3 linked regions of the Neurospora crassa OR74A genome follow. Each later gene encodes a partner of the first gene's protein in a complex. Links are inferred from orthologs where the notes say so. Each region holds a gene or a part of one and is shown in the gene's direction. Other genes may lie near its edges.

What was found. Proteins that work in one complex are often made in the same cells at the same time.
Region 2: NCU02951 (region 1) and NCU01761 share a complex: the UniProt entries of both Saccharomyces cerevisiae proteins name them as parts of the mitochondrial small ribosomal subunit. The link is inferred for Neurospora crassa OR74A from reciprocal best matches to the Saccharomyces cerevisiae genes MRPS8 and RSM27.
Region 3: NCU02951 (region 1) and NCU08728 share a complex: the UniProt entries of both Saccharomyces cerevisiae proteins name them as parts of the mitochondrial small ribosomal subunit. The link is inferred for Neurospora crassa OR74A from reciprocal best matches to the Saccharomyces cerevisiae genes MRPS8 and RSM19.

What each region holds. Positions count from the first base shown.
Region 1 is NC_026501.1:8,605,752-8,609,277, reverse strand, and holds NCU02951 (mitochondrial 37S ribosomal protein MRPS8), read left to right. Parts: upstream 1-1,245; 5' UTR 1,246-1,680; intron 1,681-1,776; 5' UTR 1,777-2,036; coding exon 2,037-2,522; 3' UTR 2,523-2,975; downstream 2,976-3,526. Other genes in the region: NCU02950 (hypothetical protein), read right to left, coding at 1-297, 365-531, 609-646; NCU02952 (hypothetical protein), read right to left, coding at 3,239-3,526. UniProt on the Saccharomyces cerevisiae protein: Component of the mitochondrial ribosome (mitoribosome), a dedicated translation machinery responsible for the synthesis of mitochondrial genome-encoded proteins, including at least some of the essential transmembrane subunits of the mitochondrial respiratory chain.
Region 2 is NC_026502.1:2,520,153-2,524,377, forward strand, and holds NCU01761 (hypothetical protein), read left to right. Parts: upstream 1-1,601; 5' UTR 1,602-1,805; coding exon 1,806-1,844; intron 1,845-1,901; coding exon 1,902-2,110; intron 2,111-2,174; coding exon 2,175-2,233; intron 2,234-2,295; coding exon 2,296-2,315; 3' UTR 2,316-2,854; intron 2,855-2,946; 3' UTR 2,947-3,720; downstream 3,721-4,225. Other genes in the region: NCU01762 (nucleolar RNAse III), read right to left, coding at 281-1,339; NCU01760 (pumilio-family RNA binding repeat protein), read left to right, coding at 4,142-4,225. UniProt on the Saccharomyces cerevisiae protein: Component of the mitochondrial ribosome (mitoribosome), a dedicated translation machinery responsible for the synthesis of mitochondrial genome-encoded proteins, including at least some of the essential transmembrane subunits of the mitochondrial respiratory chain.
Region 3 is NC_026502.1:3,811,229-3,814,966, forward strand, and holds NCU08728 (mitochondrial 37S ribosomal protein RSM19), read left to right. Parts: upstream 1-1,463; 5' UTR 1,464-1,842; coding exon 1,843-1,885; intron 1,886-1,985; coding exon 1,986-2,001; intron 2,002-2,302; coding exon 2,303-2,482; intron 2,483-2,944; coding exon 2,945-2,981; 3' UTR 2,982-3,233; downstream 3,234-3,738. UniProt on the Saccharomyces cerevisiae protein: Component of the mitochondrial ribosome (mitoribosome), a dedicated translation machinery responsible for the synthesis of mitochondrial genome-encoded proteins, including at least some of the essential transmembrane subunits of the mitochondrial respiratory chain.

The sequences.
Region 1 (3,526 bases):
CGAGTTGCTGGACTACCGCGCTGACTTCGGTATCGTGCCGAGGTGGTGGTCCTGGCTCGTTGTGGACATCGCACTGGTGCGGAGGGAGCACACGTCGGATGCCATTGACGAATTGCAGAGCATCTTGATGGTTGTGAAAGTAAATGTCGAGCGAGTGAAGCTTGTAATGGTACTTGGCCTGATTGTGAGGGTCGTATGTTGGTAGATGCCACTCCTCGTAGCCCTCGACCTCGCCAACCGTCAAAGTTACAAGGCAGGTGTGGTTGTAATCGTACTCGAGATGGGTTTTGTCGAGGTCTGGCGACACATGATGTTAGCCTTCCCACTGTCGTCTCGAGCTCTCACTCTAAATCCTAATGCTTACAGCCATCGAAAGCATCCTGGTCTTCCCTTCCAGGTTGGTTCGCAATCTCCAGCCGTGCGCGGCCCAAGTTGGCATCTTCGAAAAGGTATACATAGGAGCCCTTGTCGAACCTGTGATGAGGCGGGTTATTTGTTGGAGGGCCGTAGAAGTAGTGAATATCACCAAAGCTATGCAGCGAATCAATCAGTCAGAATGCGCCCAGGAACTATCACCTCTTTATGGGATCAACGGAAGACAAACTTACAACGTGCCGACGTTCTCCTCTCCCTCACGGGCGGCCATCTTTTGTGATCAACGAACTCGCTTGAGTGAACAAACACAACAACACAACAACGGTAAAAAGGATTGAGAGAACTGAAAGACAGCAAACTTTCTCAGCTTCCCACCCGAGGGCTATCACGCCTAATATCAGAGATGACGGAACCCAAAGAAAACAAAAGCCACTCGGCTTCCGCGTCTTTGCGATAGTACCCTACCTCTTACATACCCTTGCAGGAGACCGTGGTCTGGTTCTTCACATTCGGCTCTCACTCCATGGCGCAATCAGCACACAGCCATCCAACCAGCGCGCACGATAGGTCGGTGATGCGACCCCTAGTGCCGGTAGAGGTGACCTTGCCTGGTGGTTGCATCGTCCTGGATGGTCACTGGATGGTCCGCCTGGGCGCTTAAGGTGGGATGCCAAGAAAGAAGCACGAGCAAGTCAATTGTCACACTCTCCAGTCCTTCTTTCACAATTGACGAGGAGGGAAAGGAGCGGGAGGGAAAGACAAGAAAAAAGGTGGGGTAAGCAGGATCCATCCTCAATAAACCTGGAGAGCTACCAAGAAAGCCCCACCGGACAGACACCTTCTGGTCTCTCTGGCGGAGGGACGGGAGGCCTTTCAGGGCAGCAGGGGTCTCTTTTGCAGTGACTTTCGTGCAAGGCACAGTGGAGGTCATTGCCCGAGGTCATTCACTCTTTCAACGCTCAGCCTGAGGTCTTTTCTCGAACCATCCCTGTCCGTCCTCCACACGGCCCCGGCGGCCAAGCAAACGCACGCACGCCCGCCAGCCCGTACGTAGTGCCGTACGGCAGAAGCGGACAGAGCAGCAGGGGGACAAAAAATCGGCAGCACAACTTACCTAACGGAGCCATCCCGATCGAGACCTCGAAACCGCAATTCGCATCCGGACCCCGTTGCGCGCCGCATTCGCGAGTCCCGAAACCTCCACTTGTTTTTACGGCTCCTCCGAAGTCCGAATTCCTCCATCACGACCACCGACCCGTGACGGCCACCCGACTGTGCGCAACAGCTACGGTCTCCCGATTGGTTGTGCGTTGCAATCTTCCTTTTTTTTTTTTTTTTTTTCTGTCCCGCGAATCTTCATCGGCACGCCTAGACTAACCTCAAGACGCCCCGTCGCTGCAGCACCGATTCCTCACCCGCATCATCCTTCTCTTCATCCCGCATCATCCTTCTCTTCATCCCGCAAGGTCCCCAGTTCGCCGCCGCATCTCCCGAGCACTTCTACACCGGACGGACCAAGCCATACCAGCCGATCGACCCGACGACTTACGCGACGACGGCCGACTTCTCTCTCTTTATAACCCATCACCCAGTGCATACCATTTTCTCTCTCTCTCTTCAGCAACACAAAAGTCCCACACGGGCATCATCAAACCTTCAAAATGGGCATTCAACAAATCACCAACATGTGCTCGCACCTCCAAAACGCCTCGCGCGCTCGCCTGGGCCTGACCTCCCTGCCCAACACCAAGTACAACCTCGCCCTGGCCCTGGCCCTGCACCGCGCAGGCTTCATCTCCTCCATCACGCGGGGCGGTCCTCACCCGCCCACGCCCGAGGCCCTCATGACCTACGAGCCCGAGCCCGTGACCAGTGCCAACGTGGCCACGCGCCGGTTGTGGGTGGGACTCAAGTACTGGAACGAGGAACCCGTCTTGAAGGAGCTGAAGCCGATTTCGAAGCCGTCGAGGCTGGTGACTGCCTCCCTGGAACAGCTGAACCGTGTGGCGAGGGGCTTTCCCGCGGGATACATGAAGGGGTTGCAGTTGGGCGAGTGTTTGTTTGTGAACACTGATAGAGGTGTGTTGGAGGTTAGGGAGGCAGTGGAGAGGAAAGTTGGTGGGCTGGTTTTGTGCAAGGTAAAATAGATGGGTAGAAGAAGAAGAAGGAGGAGGGTCTCAAGGATGGACGGTGGGGATAGGACATGAATTCGGTGAAAGGAAGGCATTGTTGGGAAGGAAGCGAGAGGAATAGAAGAAGAGGAGGAAGAGTCACCGCACTTTGGGAGGATCTCAAACCTGAACTGGAGCCAACCATTTCTGTGCGCAGTGTACGATACGGATGTGATTCCATTGTACACTAGACGACTTAGCAAGACTGGACAAACATGGAAAGGAATAGACATTGGCAAAGCAGAGCTCATCCTTGGTTCTTGCTATGTGAATATGAGGTATGAGGCCAAGAAAGACAACGAGCTGGCATCCTGTATGCTATGATCTATGCATGACAACTAAATCATCAGCACTCACCGTGGAAACAGATATCACCAAGATTGATAAGAAAAGGGATCGATTCATCCTGCTCCAGGGTGCTGTACAACCCACTATCTGCTATGCATTCATACTTCATGCTTCGCCAACTTTCTTACAAATGTGTGATTGGTCTTTCTACAAAGGTATCATGAAATGTGCTAACCCAGTAACACTGCATCCCCCTCTTTCACTGTCTCGAACAAGTAATAGGGGTGATTAAAAAAGACTCTACAGGCCAAAAAGCGATCACATCCACCATTTCTGGCTTCCTTTTACGAATCAGAAGTGTGCTTAAATTCCGAAGTGCTGGCAGACTTCTCCTCGCCGTGCTCCTAGATGTCAGCATCGGTGGTATCAACAACCTCGGCAGCGGACGAGGGGGCGGCTTCAGTCTCCTGGGCTGGCATCTCCTCCTTAACAACATGAACGTCAGAAGTGGGGGTTTGGGGAGCTTCCGTGGCTTCCTCTACCGGCTGAGCAACTTCTTGAGGAGTCTCCGTCACAGTGGGGAGGGGCACCTCAACAGCTTCTTCTGCCTTGGGAACCGGCTCAGCCTTGGCCGCAGCTGAACCAGCACGAGACTGTTTCGGTGTCGTAGCCGCAGATGGTGCTGCAGATTT
Region 2 (4,225 bases), on another chromosome or scaffold:
GAAAGGAGGTGCTGACCTGTGGATGAACAAGATGGTTCATCATCGACTTTGGCCACAGCTTGTTCGTTGTGGTTTCTCTTCGTATGTGCAAACGAAACGGTCCCTGGTCCTCCCTTGAACCCGGGTCGTTTACCCGTAGTAATGAATGGCCTAATTCATCTGCTATGCGTCCTTCTCATGGCCGACGCCCGAGGTAAACCACGAGACTACGGGCATGTGATGGTTGGTGTGTCGAAGTATTAAAGATCAGGGGCATATGAGACCGAACAGTACTTGGTCGCTACAGCACGCCGCCAGTGGTTTCCTGTGCCGAAGGCTGATCCTTCAAGGGGAACGTCACTCCTGCCTGCTGCAGCTGGGCTTCCCGCGCGGCCTTCATCTCCGCCTTCTTGTCCGCAAACTTCTTGAGCAGCTTCTTGTTATCCAAGGCCATTTGAGCTGCTTTCTGACCAGCTTCCTTCTTGCTCAAAGCACTTCCGTGCCCAAGTTGCAGGTTGGTCTCCCCCCAGCCTGTCATAAAACAGCCAATAGCGAAAAGAGGCAGCTTGGTTCCCCTGTCCTTCAGGTTTTTGGAAGGGAGATCTTTATACTCGATCTTGACACCCCTGGCTCCAATGGTAGCTTCGAGTACTGTCTTTGGGTCGAGTGTCTGGCCACTTGCGGATTGCTTTTGCTCCGGCTTCCTGGCCTTCTTCTCTTCCTCGCGGATGTACTCCGCCATGAGAGGGCCCCATAGGGCCTTGAGCCAGTCTGAAGCACGCTGAATCCCATTGGCAGGATCAGAAAGAATCACGCCTCCTACATAGGCTTCGAAAAGGTCTCCGAGAATCTTAATTCTGACTTTTTGACTTGCGTTTGTACCGCCCACTCTGCCCTCCATGTTGAATTCTTCCGGGATATCGGCCATCTTGTCCAAGCCGTAATAGACCGAGAATTCGCCTAGTGTGGTGTTGCGGATAAGCATCTCGCGACGTTGTGCGCTTTTGCCAGCCGGCAAGGTCGGGAAAGTTTGATATATGAAGGAGGAGGCGATGAGCTCAAGATAAGCGTCGCCAATCCACTCCAGCCTCTCATAACTTGCAACAGGGTCGTTGTTAGCTTTACCAGGGTGTGTGAGCGCCGCCTTTTTGAGTGCCGGGTCCAGAATGTCGGGGAGCGGTGGCCGCATTCTCTGGATGGTAGCGAGTGTCCATTTGGTATTGGCATGCAAAGAAGGAATTTGGACGGAGGTTGCGGACTCCAATGTAGCGCCTTGTGATGCGGATGGTGCAGAGTCTGACTTCGCACGCTTGGAGGGCGGTTCTGATACCTCCTCCGGGGTGGGTCCGTGTTTCGGCATGGCAAGATTGTACTTTCCTACAAGCAATCCGAATGCCTCAGATCGCGCGTTGATGCGGCGATGAAATTGTAGAGGCAGAATCGAAAACGGATTCTTCAAGATGAGAACGAATCCCGGGCCATTGCGTAGTGGAAACCCTAACCCCCTGTTCGACCCCAGATCCACATCAGGGCGCTGCTGCTGCCCTGTTATGGCCCGTAGCTGTCATTCTTAGCGCCTGTCAGCCCTGGAACGCGCCGCCCTCGGCTTCATCAGCGGGCTTGCGCTGACGGCCCGGGGACACTGCGGCTCGAAAACAACGGTTGCAGTCCGTGCCCCACTCTTTGTACCCATGAATGGTTATGATTGGTGGCGCATTGCTTGACGGGCTGGAGCGGGAGATCTCTGAACGACGTCGAACAATCCGGCGGCTCTTGTTGTTGCTGTTTCTAGAATTCGCGAATCCGCAATTCCATGTAACGGCAAGATGTCGGTCCCACGGGCGCGGTTACTGCAACTTGTGAAGGTATGGAACAGTTCCGAATGAGGGGAAAAACCAGTTCGCTAACTAGGTTATACCTAGGCTCGTTGCGAGCTCTTCTCGACGACTTTCAATCCCGAAGGCATCCGGACCGGTAACAAGATCCTGCGTCAGCGACTCAAGGGCCCGGCACTTGCGACCTACTACCCCCGCAAGAACGTCGGTATTCGCGAGCTTCAAAAGGAGTTCGGTACTCTTGGTCTCGAGGTTGACGATGAGGTCGATGATGATCGTTTGGAGCACTTGGCAGCGTTCGTCTCTCTCATTCCTGCTAGTGTTTACTTGCAAACATCACAATCTAACCATACCTTACAGTCTGAGAGCCCGCGACAAGGGAGCGCCCAAGAAGAAGAGAACGGCACCCTCGGCGGCCGGTGGGTTTCGTCTGCACCTCTTACTCACGGTTCAAATCTCTAACGTTCATATTCTGCGACAGATGCGAAGAAGAAGAAATAAGACACGGCGTCCCGAAATCAGAACTACACGACGTGTACATGTATCATATAGTGGGCGGACTAGAATCATATACCCCGAATACCTGGCGTTCCTCCGGCAGTTGGTCCATTTCGACATGCATTTTTCCGCTCAGTACTTGATGCCATCACAGTCTCCCCGTGACGAGGTGCTGCCACAACTGTACATATGGTTAGCGACGCCCGCGGCACTTGCCCCTTCAAATGGTGTTGAATAGCCGCCTAGTTCGACAAGCAGGTTTGTGGTTACCAGCTTTGTCAAAGGTTCATCTCGGGACTGTCCTCCCATGCGTCTACACAAGTCTCTTGATGCATCGAACAAAGAAGCGCCTGTTGATAAGCTGAAGATACCGTATCTTGATTCCATAGCGCGGATGGGCTTGAGGGAGGATATGACCCTTCGCCATTGTCCCTCTTTACGAACAGCTTTGATCATTTGGGTGAAAACAACAAGCGAGTGTCGGATCACCCAAGATCTTTGCACAAGCCGTCCATGTCAAAGAACGCCATGAATGTGAAAAGGTGCGCTGGCTCTTCCTGCTCCATTTCAAGCCTTTTCCAAAATAAAAATGGATAGGAAAGGAAGCTAATCACACCTACCATAATTTGCAAAGACCTTGGCATCCCAGCCCTACCGGACGAGAAAAGCCGACCCGCCACTCCTATCTGTTAATGTCCACGATGCTAGGTGATGGTGCTGTCTTGTTGAAGCTTCCAGACGTTGCATGCTTCCCTACCTACTCTACTCATTTTCATTCCGACGAAGAATGGTAGATCACACCGAATGGCAGGTGACATGAACACCTAGGTATGAATACCGCCTAATGAACTCGGAATATGTCATTGGGGCTCGGACGCCTAACCCAGAAACCCGTTGATCGTATGGGAAGTGGCAGCCGGACAGCAAGGTCCTTAACGCGGCAGGATGTCTCATCGCTGGCTCGGTTGACCATCATGCCCGACGTCCCCGCGACACGTGAAAAACTTCGGCTTGGTGATAAGGATCCCGCTAGGCACAAGGACGGGAGGCACGACGCCAAAGGCCGATGATCGTTAGCTGGAATACCGGTCGCAACTTCCCCAGCGACTCATCATATTCGATTCCGATCTTCGGATGGACGAGCCGATGTGCGTTCACTCGTCAGATCATCTGATGGCAGCCCAAGTGAGCTTTGATCACAGAGATTGCGGATTATCTCACAGGCATCGTGAACCCCTTTTTGCTTGGAGTGTCCGGGCAGTGACACCTGGGCAGTCCCGGTCACAGTTCCATCGTGCCTTCCTCCCTCGGGAGCCAAGGGTCCACCATTTCGACTTTAGTCTCGGTCATCCCGGGCTCATACCTACCCTAGAGGTACCTACCTACCTCTAGCCCTATTCTGACCGGTGCGTCCATCGTCACCAAGAGGTTTGTTGCTGTTGCCTTGCGAGAAGGTCCAACTTCAGGGCAACTGTAGCTGAAAGTACGGGTATCTCGGGCACATTTACACTCTTTCTTCCGTCCCAGACCAGCTCTTGGAGCTCTTTCTCTTTTCCCCATTATATCAACACATATTTCTAAGGCTTCTTCTCTTTCTGCATCTTCTTGTCGGTGCCATCACCAACCGTGTTCTCTCAAAAGCGGTTTGTGGTCATCTCGCCCCCAAGCTTCTATTTATCTGTGTCTTTCGTCGCCATTGGAACCAAATCTACTGCTTTTCTCTATCACCATCTTGAGCATCTCCTCCCATTGTGAAACACCAGCACCCAAAGCATCCCTCCAATCCCCTCAGGCTAGGTCATTCAACATCCAGCCCTCAGCAGACGACCATGTCTGCCGTCGCAGCATCCACCGGCTCGCCCAACGAGCGCCGTGCTTCGGCTTCCAGGAGTTTCTCGCAGTCTCAGGACGAG
Region 3 (3,738 bases), on another chromosome or scaffold:
CTAACGAGCCAGTCGGCGTCTCGTTATGATGGTAGAATTACTCGTGGAGCACCATGCCGTTATAGTGACCGTTCAGCCCGAAAGAGGAGGGATCTGGAGAGCATTAGATCATGTGAAGAGACGGGTAACACTGATACTCAGGCACTCGTCCGCATTTGCGGTAGTCCGACAAGTTGATCAAGGCACACTCAGACACCCAGGGACGGGAAGTGCTCCCTACTAGTTTATTCCGGGAACGGTTGATCTTGATGGGTAGCTAGTGCAAACAATTGCGCAGCAGTCGAGCTGCTTGATGATGATGATGATGATGATGGAAGTTGGAACTCCATGGCTGGCTGGATAGTAAACAAATGCAGCCCTGTTCTCAGGTGGCTCGCGGGAAGAACGAATGCGGTGCCCTTCTCGGACTTTGCGCGCAGACTGGTGAACCGATCAAATGTTGATCAGACCGACCAGAGGGAGGGGGGGCATTCGTCTGAGGGCATCGACGATGCAAGCACACCCACAAATGCGCAAAACAAAAAAAAAAGAGTGACGGATGGTGAAATCCAAAAAGAAGGTCGTTGTGAACGCGAACGGGAAACCACGGCCAGATAGATATATTGACTGCGGTGGCGCTCTTGCCTAGACGAAGAATCCATGACGGCCCAGTCCATGCCCAGGCAAGGCAAGGCAAGGCACAGCACGGCAGTTCACGCCTGCCTTAAACTACCTACACTACGTCCTACATTGATGTACAAACATCATACATACTGTAGTGGTGGCGAGGTGTATGGAACTTGAAATGCTGAGGAAGGAGCAACACTGAAGAAGACGGAGTGCACGATCGATGTGAACCACTGAGCTGCAGTCAGGAATCGACGGACGCACGCCGGTTATCGGCCACCACCAAGAATGCCAATAGTCCGGAATCCGGGATGCTATGTTTTGGAGTATCGCAGTCGCGTTAGTCCTGAACCAATTGACGGCAGCACGGGCAGCAAGTGTCTGAGAGTGCCAACCAGTGCCGCCGGTTTGCTAAACGGTATGTAAGTCATATAATACTTGCTGTATCCTAGTTCGAGTAACACCAAGATTTCGGCCCCAAGTGCTGCTCGAGCAGGGGGGCTTGCCAGTACAGGGGTAGGTACCTGTAGGGTGTGGTGCACGAGTCACACCACCATAGCATTAGATTCAGCAGTATCGTGCATAGATTTTCTTCTTCTTGCGCACCCAAGAAATGCACGATAACACAAATTGGATGCTAATTGATCTTTGCCATCAGGTAGACCCCGCTTTCTCTGCTCACTAAGCAAGTGCCGTTTGACTGAAGATTTCCGTACCTCTCCACTGCAGGGTTGACATCCATCTGTATATTGACGGTAGGTTACCTTGACAAAAAGAGGTGTTTAGAGGGTTATCATCGTAGTGTAATTATGGGGGCGTTGCTTTTAGATATCGATAGACAGGGTTACCCGTGCAGGGGTTTTTGCTGTATCGATAATCGCTTTGATGAATGCCCCCTAACCCTGTAGAAGTACCTACTGCGTACATAGGTAGCCAGGGGGGAGAGTCAGCGGGGGCGTCCGTACTAGGTATGCCGGCCGGCAACCGATAAGCTTGGCAGTTCCAAAATTCGGCCGTGGTCAGCGCTCCCGTCACTGCCGCCGTCGCCGTGATACCTGGAACCGCTCCGCCCGCCCGCCTGCCGGACTCGCCGACTGACTGACCGACCGACCGACCGACCGACCGACCGACCGATTGATCTCAAGACCATCCGAGTGTCGCGTACGCGCCCGGCCTCTTCCCGCTATTTGCAGCCACCACCCATCACCACCGAATTCCTTCTCGTTCGCGCCCAACATGCAGCCAACAAGGGTTCTTTTCAAGAGATCCGTGTGGAAGGGTAAGTTATTTTGTTTTGTCTCCTCCTAAGCTTCACCTTGCGATAATGTACTCTTTGCGCCGTCCAAGACAGTCAAGCTAACCCGCATCGCCGACTCCAGGTCCGCACATTGTCCCGTAAGCTCTACTACCCCTTCCCCTCGTTTCTGTCCCCGCGATCTCAATGACGACGACGACGACGACGACGACGACGACGACAATTCAATGCGCCGGCGCACTCCCGAGGACTCTCTCTCCTCCCTGCTCCCGATCAAAGCTGCCGGCGCATGTCCATCATTCTCTACGAGCCCATCCCGCGACATTCCCCTCCATCCGCGAACCAACGCAGTCCAACCGAATCCAACCGCAACGCTACAAGCATAGTCACCTATCTTGAGCGCAAACGGGCACTAACCACCAACGCATACACACAAAACAGTCTCCCCATCCAGCGCCCCGAGCCCGGCAAGAAGATCGCTCCCATCCGCACCCAGGCCCGGTCCGCCACCATCCTGCCCAACTTTGTCGGCCTCAAGTTCCAGGTACACAACGGCAAGGACTACATTGACTTGACTGTCACCGAGGAGATGGTGGGGCATAAGCTTGGAGAGTTTTCTGCGTAAGTGCTCTTTCTTTCTTTCTTTTTTTTTTTTTTTGGTTCTTTCTTCCCCTACTTTCACTAGTCTACTTTTTTCCTTTCTTTTCCTTCTTTGACTATTATTTTTCAATTTCAATATATTATTTTTTTAAAGGGTCTTTTTTTTTTCCTTTTTTTTTTTTTTTTAAGATGGCGGCGGAAATGCCATAAATGTTGGCGGTGTGGGAAAAGAAAAAAAAAAAAAAAGAATTTTCCTACACAAAATTCAATGGTCTGACACGGCATGGCCATGGCATTGGCTGGTGGCAAGCCATGAATGGCTGGACGGGCGACATGTGTTGGACGCCACCACGGGATGATGATGATCGTAGGCGGTGGTGCAGTGTGGTCAGCAGAAAACAAACAACACAAAAGACACACATTGGGCATATGGACATGAACAATTGGACCGACACTAACTGAATGGTTCAAAACCTCAAACAGTACACGCAAGCCCTTCATCTGGGGTAAGAAGAAATAGACAAACCAAACTTCGTTCGTCTCTTCAGTGATGATGATGAAGAAGAAGAAGAAAAGAGAAGAAGAAGTCGATTGATTGATGGATGCGGGTTTGACACGTTTTTTCTGTGGGCGGCGTTTATTTCGGCAAAAAACAAAAAAGCATATTTTCGTTGCTTATCTGTATCATACCATACCATTGTCAGAGGAGGGCACAGGTTTCTGTACACATATCATATTTTGGGGCAAATTAGAACTTTCGCTTGGATTCATACTACTGTGCTGTGTCTGTTGTTTCAAGATGAACATGTATATGTTGTGTAGTGTGTAGTTTAATTATGCTTTGTAATTGATAAAAATATGCTAGTATCGCCAGGTATTATTATTTTTAGCCTAGACTAGTAGTCATAACGGGTTCACTGAGAGCAAACAGGACGATGGCAATCTTCCATAACGGCGCCTCCTGAACGCCAAGCGCAAAAAAAAAAAAAAAAAAAAAAAAAAAAGGAAAAAAAAAAAGGAAAAAGAAAAGAAGACCCGATGACCCCAAACCCCTTTTGCACCGTTCCCGTGTTGGACCCTTGATTGCCGACCCTTTGCCCATCCATCCATCCATCGATGCATCATCCTCTTGATATCCTCCTCCTTGAGCAAGTAACCACTTGTTGCCGCCCCTTTAAGATAGTATCATCCTTTGGTCTGCCATGCCACCATTCCGCTCACACTCAGGCAAACCACCCACCGTTTCCCCATCCCTTCTCATCAGTAGAGCAGACAGT